Linked DNA regions of Schizosaccharomyces pombe. The gene in region 2 interacts genetically with the main gene of each other region. Each region holds a gene or a part of one and is shown on either strand. Other genes may lie near its edges. The genes, in order: cka1 and cdc28.

What was found.
Region 1: mutations in cdc28 (region 2) and cka1 impair growth when combined (synthetic growth defect), as found in Schizosaccharomyces pombe (one study listed by BioGRID).

Annotation. Positions count from the first base shown.
Region 1 is NC_003424.3:2,150,319-2,155,018, forward strand, and holds cka1 (serine/threonine protein kinase Cka1), read left to right. Parts: upstream 1-1,718; 5' UTR 1,719-1,835; coding exon 1,836-1,881; exon of another isoform or gene 1,882-1,941; coding exon 1,942-2,222; exon of another isoform or gene 2,223-2,225; intron 2,226-2,380; coding exon 2,381-2,693; intron 2,694-2,754; coding exon 2,755-3,056; intron 3,057-3,149; coding exon 3,150-3,206; 3' UTR 3,207-3,905; downstream 3,906-4,700. Other genes in the region: 3'-5'-RNA exonuclease Mpn1, read left to right, coding at 306-426, 466-564, 612-810, 862-1,024, 1,068-1,283; hcn1 (anaphase-promoting complex TPR lobe accessory factor subunit Hcn1/Apc12), read left to right, coding at 4,477-4,700. UniProt on the Schizosaccharomyces pombe protein: Catalytic subunit of a constitutively active serine/threonine-protein kinase complex that phosphorylates a large number of substrates containing acidic residues C-terminal to the phosphorylated serine or threonine.
Region 2 is NC_003423.3:1,668,341-1,674,480, reverse strand, and holds cdc28 (ATP-dependent RNA helicase Cdc28), read right to left. Parts: upstream 4,057-6,140; 5' UTR 3,900-4,056; coding exon 732-3,899; 3' UTR 656-731; downstream 1-655. Other genes in the region: pmt1 (DNA methyltransferase), read right to left, coding at 1-203, 248-415; SPOM_SPBC21B10.02 (uncharacterized protein), read left to right, coding at 4,337-4,762; ath1 (ataxin-2-like protein), read right to left, coding at 5,047-6,140. UniProt on the Schizosaccharomyces pombe protein: Involved in pre-mRNA splicing. Is required together with ATP and at least one other factor, for the first cleavage-ligation reaction.

The DNA.
Region 1 (4,700 bases), on a different chromosome or scaffold from region 2:
GCCTGAAGATCACGATTTCCTATTATTTACTGCTAGTCTGTCACGCTAATACAGCATACTTATATGTACAAGTCTGAACAAACCTACCACTGACTTCAAGAGTGAAAGGATAGGTTTATTGCAGTTCATATGAAATCGGGATTCTAAGCAAAAGCTTATGTCTATTCGAATACATACTAATAACCAAACTATTACAAAAATTTTTGCATGAATATCTATTACTATTACAGGCCATTTCTACACCATTCCTTGAGAAAAGAAAGTAGCCATCTTTATTATATTAATAAAAAAAAATAGAAGAATAAATGTCTTTAGTATGTTATGAGAGTTCGAGCTCCGGAGAAGACGATGACGAGACAATATCTGATAATCCCCGAATGTTAAAAGTCCCTAAGCTCCAAGAATCATTTCACGAACTTTATAAGAGTAAGAAGGTTTTAATGTTTTGATAACTCATATTCTTAGAAAAGCCAAAAACTTTTGATAGTCCTGAGTTTCATGAGGGTCGAATTCGTGGACAAAAGCATATTGAAGGATTGTGGTTTGTTCAAACATATTTGGAGGGTAATAAATCAATTTTTATTTAACAAAAAGTTGACAATTATCAATAGTGGATTTGAGCAAGAAAGTTAAAAAAGGCATTCGTGAGTTTTTGAATTCACAAAGTCGGTTTCAATCGCTTCTTTGCTCTGAGCATAATGTACCAAGAAGATTACATTTAAGCATATCTGAAAACTACCGCATAAATTATTCCACTAAGAACCAATTAGTGCACAAATGGGAACAATATACAAACAATTTGAATTACAGGTATACTCAGGACAAATAATCCATACTGTTGAGACTGACATATTAAAAAAGAACTTTAAAATTTCGACTGGGAAAGATGTGTCTACTATTTAATGACGAAAAAACAAGAATGTTCCTAGCTTTCGAATGTAAATTCAGTGACGAAAACTACAAAGACTTAATAAGTCATGCTAGTGACTGTATGAAAGAGTTTACAAATAGGAATTTGAGAGAGGTAAGTAAAGGTTCAAATAAGCGACAATTTTAACGCCTTCCAGGACTTTTTACTTCACATATCCTTTGCTTCATCGTTGACAAATGAAGACGAATATCAAAATTGGGTCAGTCAAGACAGAGAGTCCCATTTTTTTAAAACGATGAATGAAATTATTAATACAAAGATTCAAAAAGATCAATTTTCTGAAAGTTTTATCGTTGATAGCTTAAAGTTGTCAATTGGACATCTAATATTTACCTTTCCATTTTGTAAATAATTTATTAATTGGGGCGATAATAATATTATTACAATACTCGTTTACGAAAGAATATGCTCAGCTTCAAATCAATTGGTCTTAGGAACACAAAAAGTGATCATTAGCAATTGCATTCAGTTTTGTTACAAAGCATGCGGACTAAAACGTATGAAGGAAGAATAATTTCAAAAAAATTCCTTATTAGAAGCTTTAGTATACTCATTTTCGTCTTCTGTGATCGGATTTTGATTGCAACGTTTATCAGTTTTTTGTTACATTTCTTCTCACTAGAAAACAATATCATAACTATATTTTCACTTGTTTGGTTTATAAACTTAAGCCATATAGCGCATTAACTTGTTTATATTGCTATATTGCTTGTAACGGAGCTTAAAACACTTTGTTAATTTTCACTAAGCACTCTCTTTGCACTTGCATACACAAGACCTGCCCTTCACCAGCTAGCTTGCTAAACAAATTTTTTGGGTTCCGTTTCATATAAAGGATTTTGCATTAACATAGAGGGAGCACTCTAAGAAAAAAAAACGTGAAAGCTGAAAGGTGCTACTTACAATGAACCAGACTGAAGCGGCTCCAGTCGTCTCAGTTTCCCGGGTTTGTACGTATTGTGAAGTTCAAATTTATAAAAAAAGGATAACAAATGACTAATTAGATTTAGATGCTCATGTTAATGAGGAGATGCCCCGTGAATACTGGGACTACGAGAACATGCAGGAGGTATTTGGATATCAGGACAATTATGAAATTATTCGGAAAGTAGGAAGAGGAAAATATAGTGAAGTTTTCGAAGGATTAAATGTCTTGAACAACAGCAAATGCATCATCAAAGTCCTAAAGCCTGTAAAGTACAAGAAAATCAAGCGTGAAATAAAGATTCTACAGAACTTGGCCGGAGGTCCTAACATTATCTCACTGCTTGACATTGTCCGCGATCCAGAGGTAAGAATAAAAAAAAAAAGCTTTTTGTATTGAATCGTCTTGAAACTTGAAGGAGAAGAAATTTTGTGCTTTTCCGTCTATTGAGTTTATACGACTCTGGCTTTTGAACGTTTGATATCCATCAAACTATTGTATTTGTCGATACTAATATTTTATAGAGTAAAACACCATCTTTAATTTTTGAATTTGTTGACAATATTGATTTCCGTACATTGTACCCTACTCTTTCTGATTATGATATTCGTTATTACTCTTACGAGTTGCTAAAAGCTTTGGATTTCTGTCATTCTCGTGGTATAATGCATCGTGACGTTAAGCCTCATAATGTTATGATCGATCACAAAAAAAGGAAGTTACGGCTAATTGATTGGGGTCTGGCCGAGTTTTATCATGCTGGCATGGAATACAATGTTCGTGTAGCCAGTAGATACTTTAAGGGTCCAGAACTGTTAGTAGATTTTCGAGAATATGGTAAGTTGCATCCACTTTTGTTAAATATATTTACGTTTCTTTTTTCCTAACCAAACTTTAGATTACTCCTTGGATATTTGGTCGTTTGGTGTCATGTTTGCTGCTTTGATATTTAAAAAAGATACTTTTTTCCGTGGGCGGGACAATTATGATCAGCTAGTTAAAATTGCCAAAGTTCTGGGAACTGATGAACTTTTCGCTTACGTACAAAAATACCAGATTGTGCTGGACCGACAATACGATAATATTCTTGGTCAGTATCCCAAGCGGGACTGGTATTCTTTTGTCAACCGTGACAACAGATCGCTTGCCAATGATGAAGCAATCGATCTGTTAAATCGTTTATTACGTTATGATCATCAAGTAAGTTACCGAACCTGAAGGTTTTTACAGGATCTTATACAATCACTTATTTTTTTAAGTGGTATATACTGTATAGTTACTAACTTAGCATAGGAGCGTTTAACTTGTCAAGAAGCTATGGCCCATCCGTACTTTCAAGTACTCAAATAAGAACTGAGGGAAGGGACTATAACTCAATTATCTCTACGGACAGCCTTTTCATTACTAGTTCCCTTCATTTTCATAAAAATGAACCAAATCCAATTCTAGTTTTAATTCTGGTTCATGTTTTATTATTCTTTTCTTATTATTAGACTTGAGTATTCCTCTTCATTTACGTCGGTGATAATTTAAGCTAATATTTCTTGCCCAAACGTTATCATCTCCCACACGATTCCTCGAAACGGTTCTTGCATAAGTACATCCTACTATAATATTGCTTTCACGTGGCGGAGCCTTCCCACTACTTTTTCCCCGTACCTACTCGTTAGACACTTGGTCTACATAGTGTCTGTGTCTATTGCTTTCCCTTACTCAAATTAGAGTTTTTTTTATTTTTAAATGCTATCGGGCTTACTAAACAGGTTCCAATTCTATAGTTTTCTTTAATACTTTAAACGAGTTTTTACCTCTTTAGGTACCTAACAGCTTTATTAATAGTAAGTAACTCTGCGTATTATGCATAATGAATGCAATCTAAAGAAGCGATGGAAATGAATATGCGATATTTCATGAATGAAAAGTAAAGCCTTAATTAGAGAGCAACCTTACAAAACCTCTTATTCTGTAGCGTTAATCTTGCGCAGCTGCTCATCCTGAACTTGTTGAAGTTCAATGCTCAAAACAATTGCCTTTTGTAAATTCATTTTACTGTATTTAACACATATTAGAATTCATCATATTAAAAAAAATGATAATGTCATAAACTAGGGATGAACTTACAGGAATTCGCATTTATTCAACACTGATTCCAAATGAAACAGTATTTGCTTTTGAACCTCAGTCAGCATGCCAAAATTTGCACCAAAATCTAATTCAAAAGAATGTGTTGTGATCTTTGAATTCGGAAAAAACAACTTTACTTATCTTACTTGGTAAAGTATATTGTTTAACCAGGCAAATTTGTTAAAAAAGGAGTAGTTTACCTCTCGCTTTATGCGTATTTATGGTAAAACAAGTATAAAACACTATAACGCGGTAGCTCAATCTCTCGCTTTTAGAAAATACTTTACGCTACGATCCAAATAAATGGGTTAACTTGTGTATCGTCTACCAAAACAACACCTAAAACAGCGTGTTTTATCATTGCATTGCAACTAAGGTGAGTTTCTTTCTTCCTCTCTTGCTTTTTCATCCTTGAATGTAAATAAAATTCAATCAAGCTGAATATAAATTTAATAACAGACCACATTTGTGTACTACGTTTGTTAGTATCTCCAACATGTTACGAAGAAATCCTACGGCAATACAAATTACTGCTGAAGATGTTCTTGCATATGACGAAGAAAAGCTAAGACAAACGCTTGATTCCGAGTCAACAACAGAAGAAGCATTGCAGAAAAACGAAGAGTCAACACGTTTATCGCCTGAAAAGAAGAAAATTATTCGTGAAAGAAGGATTGGAATTACTCAAATATTTGATTCTTCAATGCATCCTTCCCAAGG
Region 2 (6,140 bases):
TGAACATTCTCAATTAGAATGTACTCAGGCAAATTATTTACATGAGGAAGCACATTTAAAATATTTAGAAATGCTTGGGAACGAGGATCAAGAATATCTTTACGGTTTCCTATTCTAGTAAAAGGTTGACAACTGGGACTCATAGTCCATAATTTACAGTCAAATGCATCAAAATCCTTGGCCGTTAAAGTTGAAATATCCATCTATAAGTATTAATATAGTTATCGAGTAAATCCTTGAAACATACGTGTTTAGCAAGTTTTCCATGATTGAGGTTATAAATTTCATTTGCCTGTGGGTTGATATCTATTGCACACACAATATCAGCCGGTATATTTGCCAGGTTCAATGCATAGTGCATACCTCCAATACCAGAATATAGCTCCAGGACCCGTAATCTTTTTGTACTAAGCATTGAATGTAACCGAGCATGCAACACTCGGTAATCGTTTAGTGAGGGTTACAAAAGACCTACCTGCATTAGATTTTTTGCTTGGATTTGTTAAGCTTGAAAAGTCATGAGCATTTCGGGCCTTTTCAAAAACGATAAAATGTTTTTTAGTATTAAAAGTAATTAATATACAACATGATGACTTAAACAAAACTGTACGTCTTTTTGAAGCTAACTAAATGAGATCTTTTAAAAGTTTGTCCATTATTGTGAAACATAAATTCATTATGATTATATACAACCAAATCGCCTTTAAAACTAATTTTCCTTTTCCACTCTTTTACCGCTTATGTCGTTTTTGCGTCTTTTGCAATTCTTCTATATTTTCTGGCTTGAAATAATGGGGGCTTATTTCCAAGAGCCACTCGGGTTGTATTTCAGTAATTTGTCTGCAATACTCCTTAGTTGTCAAAACCAATTCAAAGTAAATGATGACTTTTGGCTTTTTCTCAGCTACAGAAGAACTAGGGTGAATATAAACGGTTTGATTACTTTTAACAGTGCGATAAGAATCCCCACTACGATCCAAGCGTGCAGCATTAGAAAAATAACCAGCTGTGATAGCTTTCTTAATAGGATCAAGGGACTCTGAAGAATTAGTTACCAATTCAATTTCCACCCGTTCACAGAGATTGGCAAGTTGATCACGAACATCTCGAGCTCGACATAAACTCTTATACTGTAAAAAGTTTTCACGGGCCCAATTGTACGAAAAGTCAGTATCTACCCATTCATTCCAAATATGAAGAAGAGTTAAATGATCACCACCAGGTTGGGTAAAGTTCGCTCTAGCTTTATCCGCTTCCATTATTTTGTCTTTTGGTCTATAGAATAAAGAGGAAGCCTCCCCTAACATAGAAACAATTGATAACACTTCTTCAACACATCCATACTTTGAAGATGCAATCAAAGATTTAGAAAGCATAGGATCTGTAGGAAACTCTGCCATCTGCCTGCCGAGCTTAGTCAATTCTCCTCTATTGTTTAAGGCACCAAGCGCATACAATAACTCTAATGAACGCATCAACGTTTCAGGTGGTGGAGCATCCATGAAGTCGAAATCTAAAAGATTATTAATTCCTAGGGATTTAAGCAAGAGAACAATATTTGTCAAATTTGTTCTTTGAATTTCAGGAGATGTTACCATATCCAGTTCATTGTTATATGTCCGACGCGTATATAAACGGAAGCACTTTCCAGGTCCTACTCGACCAGCACGGCCGGCACGCTGATCAGCAGAAGCACGGGAGCAAGGCACAGATACTAAGCTTTCCATACCAGTCCTTGGATTATACATGTTTTGTTTGACAAATCCAGAATCAATCACAAAATTCACTCCGTCAATTGTTATAGAAGTTTCAGCAATATTGGTTGCTAATACAACTTTGCGGGCACCAGGGGGTGTAGGATCAAAAATTTTAGCTTGCAATTCAGAAGGCAGATTGGCATAAATCGGACATAAAATTATTTCCGGAATTCTTTTTCCTAGTATCCGACAAAGTTCTTGCATGTTTTCGGACATTAATTCAATTTCATCTTGGCCCGTTAAAAAAACTAAAATATCACCAGCAGGCTGGGTAGTATGTATTTGAAGAATGGTTGTAATAGCCGCTTGTATATAATTTGCTTCAGGTTGCGGGGTGTAATAAATATCGACTGGATATCTTCTGCCAGGAACATAGAACACTGGAGCTTCATCAAAGTAAGCCGAAAATTTTTCGGCATCTATAGTAGCACTCGAAATTAGAACCTTTAAATCTGGACGAAATCTAGCAATATCCTTTACAAGTCCAAATAAAATGTCTGTATGAAGCGTTCTTTCATGGGCTTCATCTATAATAATGACAGAATAGCTTGCCAGGTCAGGTTCTGTTAAAAATTCTCTGAGAAGCATGCCATCAGTCAAGTATTTTATGACAGTTTTTTCAGAAGTAGCATTTTCAAAACGAATGCTGTACCCAACTTCCTGTCCAAGCCGTACATCCATTTCCTTGGCAACCCTAGCAGCAACAGACATTGCAGCAACTCTTCTTGGTTGGGTGCAGCAAATTTTCTTATTTCCTTTAGTATAACCAGCTTCGTGCAGAAATTGAGGAAGTTGAGTTGTTTTACCAGATCCGGTCTCAGCCACAATAAGCAACACTTGGTACTCATTTATTGCCTTCAAAAGATCGTCCTTGTATTGATAAACAGGTAAACTTTTGCGAGAACTTTCTAATGATTTTTCAACTTTAACATCAGTCATCTTGTCAGTGTCAACAGGATTCTCCGCAGAAAGCTTAGTATCGAGTAAAAAATCAATCTGTTGCGATTCGTCAAATACGAAATCAAATTGCTTCTCTCCTGGAGGAAGCCATTCGTTTTGATCAAAAAGTAATGCTTTATTTATTTGTTGAGCCTCCCACCGCTGTTGTTCGGCAGCTCCCATCGTAACCTCGTTTTGCTCACCTTCATTACTATCCTTATACCTTTGATATAAGACCTCCTCTTTTCGTTTTCTGTCCAATTTTCCTTGCTCTGTAAAATAGTCTTCAGGCATTTGATATTCAGTGGCTTGTTTTTCCAATCTCTGACGTTCTTCAGCAATTCGAAGTAGTTCTTTTTTCTTTTCAAGCTCTCTAATTTCTGCTTGCGTCAACTTCTCGCCTGCAAAAAGTTGCTCCTCATCTCGAATTTCTCTGCGAAGGATTTCCAACTGTTGCTGAGCCCTAGGTTTAAGATATTGTTGCCGCGATTTTTTTCGAAGTTCAGAAGCAAGTTTTCTCCATGATTCAGGATCATCTGCTAGTTTTCTAAGAGCTAGCTCTTCCGAAGAAAATTTGGATGAATAATCCTCCACAAATTCATTTGTTGCGGCTTCAAGGTCTTTACGTCTAAGACGCTCTTCAAATTCTTCTCTTTCACGTAAATCATTGAGTCTTTCTGTCTCAGGATCTGAGCTTTTTTCATAATCATGATTTTGAAAATCGGTAGAAACTGAATCTTCTTCTATAGGATGACTAGCACTTCCATCCACTACCTCCTCATACTCGTCACTCTCCCACTCATCCTCATCTCGTTGTCTCCTGGCTATTTCTCGCTTAGGAGTTTTAGAACGGCTTTTTTTCTTCAAAGGCTTCCCAGGCGTCTCATGAGATTGAGGTTCTATCAACAAATCATAACTTGAATTCAAACGCTCCATTTGTAAAATCCCCTGTTCTTTTTTCTTTCTTGCATTGTAGTTTTCTTTCGGTCTTGAGCCTTCTCTGGGTATTCTAGCATAAAGCGTATGAGCAAATTCTTTAACCGCAGGATCATCACCATCCATACCAAAACTGACGAGTTTCTGATACAGGTTATTAGAACTTGAAGAGCCCTTCGCTTCTGCAATTAGGTATTCTACCACGGAAGGTTCCGACATTCCCAGTAGCGAAATCGCTTTGTCAGACACATATTGCTCTAAAGACATTTTGTAGGCGCAACCAGAATAATATCACCAAAAAGCAATGAAGCTATTTTTGAATATAAACCCTTTCAAAATTTTCATAAAATCTTCATTTGGAAGATAGTTAATTTTCAGTTAAATTTGCTAAACGCGTTGCGATACATAAGTTTAAAACAGTTGTAAACTACACATTATGCATCGTTTAGTATATATTGGATTCTTTGAGTTACGGTAATTTACATAACGTGTTTTTCGTTATATTTGCTCGAAGATTGGTTTCGCTGACGTTGACCTAAAGTTGATTAACACTTATTCTTTAACATATTTTTGTTTTTTAATTATATATTAAATAATTATACAAAATAGGATTCACAGTTAGAAGATTGTTTATCAATAGGCATTTGCCTCGATTCGTTGTACGACACACGGCTTTGCCTACACTTGTTCGTTCTTCTCACAAAATGTCAGACGAAGCTTATGCAGCATTTCTGGAAACAGCTAACAAACCTGTTCCTTCTTATTCGGGCGACTCTTCCCAACTTCCTTCAAAATGGCTGAGAAGCTCAAAGAATATGTTGGAGGATCCCTCATTTAAAACTTTAGCTGGGAAAGTTAAGGATGAATACTTTGTCAGTGAATCAGATGAAAAATTTCACCCAATATGCATTGACAATATCCCTGACGAATTTGAAGAGATTGATGCAAAGACCTTTGATCCCCATCAGAAGTACAAAAAAGTAATTCATGCAATTGAGCAATCAAGTGGGTCAAAGGACATCCATTACTTTTCTTATGAAGAATCATCTACTAAAACTGTATATTATGTACTTGCCCATTTGAATGACAATAAGTGGTTTGGAGTTGCTACGGTAGGCATATATACTTAACTGGCTAATGTTTTTTTTTATAGCAGAAGACTAACAATCCGCATTCAATAAATGTTTCTTTAAGTCGTAAGTTTTATTATCATAGGTTAATGTAATCGAAAAAGAATAAGTTGTAACTTCTCAAATGTAAGTTCAGCACTTGAATTGAAACAACCAACTAAACCAACTCACAAAATCATGATTCTTACCGCCTTCATTTCATCTCATAGAATATTCATACATCCATACAAGATTTGCGATTTAGATATTACATGGTCTTCAAGTCAACCTTAAATATAAACAAATTAAGGCTTCGCTTCTTGGTTAGCTGATGCATCTTTCTCTGTTTTCTCTGTAGCATCACCTTTAGAAACGGGAGGCGCCGTTTGAGATGAAGACTTTGCAGTTGTATTAGGAGCAGCATTAAGAGACGAGGAAGTAGAGGCATTAGAATGAGAGAAGGTGTTAGAAGCGTTGTTATTCTTATGTACATTCGATCGCTTCCCGTTAGATGAATTGAAAGATCGTTGAGAATTGCTCCTTCTTGAATCACCATACATAGGATAATGCATATTCATCATGCCATTATTAGGAGCATACTGGCCATACATAGGAGGAACGCCATTCATTGTGTATGCCATCATGCCTCCCATTTGGGGAACAAAATAAGTTGCAGGAGCTGAAGCGCCCCTACCGTTACCAGAAGGAGGAAACTGTGGCATTGCGTAAGGCGGAATGAATTGGGGAGCCATGTAGCCTATCATTGGCGAACCTACTGTGCTAGAATTTCCAGAAGTCGGTGTTCCGTTAGGTGAAGGAGCTACAGAGGTATGCTGACTAGGGTTTCTCATGTAAGGAGTATAGCCCGGCACAGGATATCCCACTGGTATATATGGCATTGTAGGAGTAGGATACATTGGCATTGCAGAAGGCATAGCACTATTGGGTAAAACAATACTAGGAATCATGGGATTCGCAGCTGCTGCCTTCTTTGCAGAACCAGAATTTCCTTCAGGTCTTGAATTTGCAATGGTTTGCTGTAGGGAGTTGGGTCCCGTGTTCCAAGTCGGGGGACATGAAAAAGGCTTATCAATCTGCTCCGCTCCTTGGTGTTCTTCTCCAACGTTTTTAAAAACATTAAAGTTATCTAAGATGGGTTCCTTCTCCGATGAAACAGGACCGTTGAAGAAAACAGGAGAGGAAGAAGGTTTGTTTTCACCATTGGAAACCACTGAAGGTGATTGTGGTGTGGTTGAAGGAATCGAAGCTTCACTGTTGTTGGACTGCTGAGGCATCATCGGACGTGAAGCATTAACAGGTGCGGGTTTACTGGGGATAGTAAATTTACCAGGTGTAAACACAGGAGCAGCTACATTCGGCTTAAAAGATATAGCCTTAG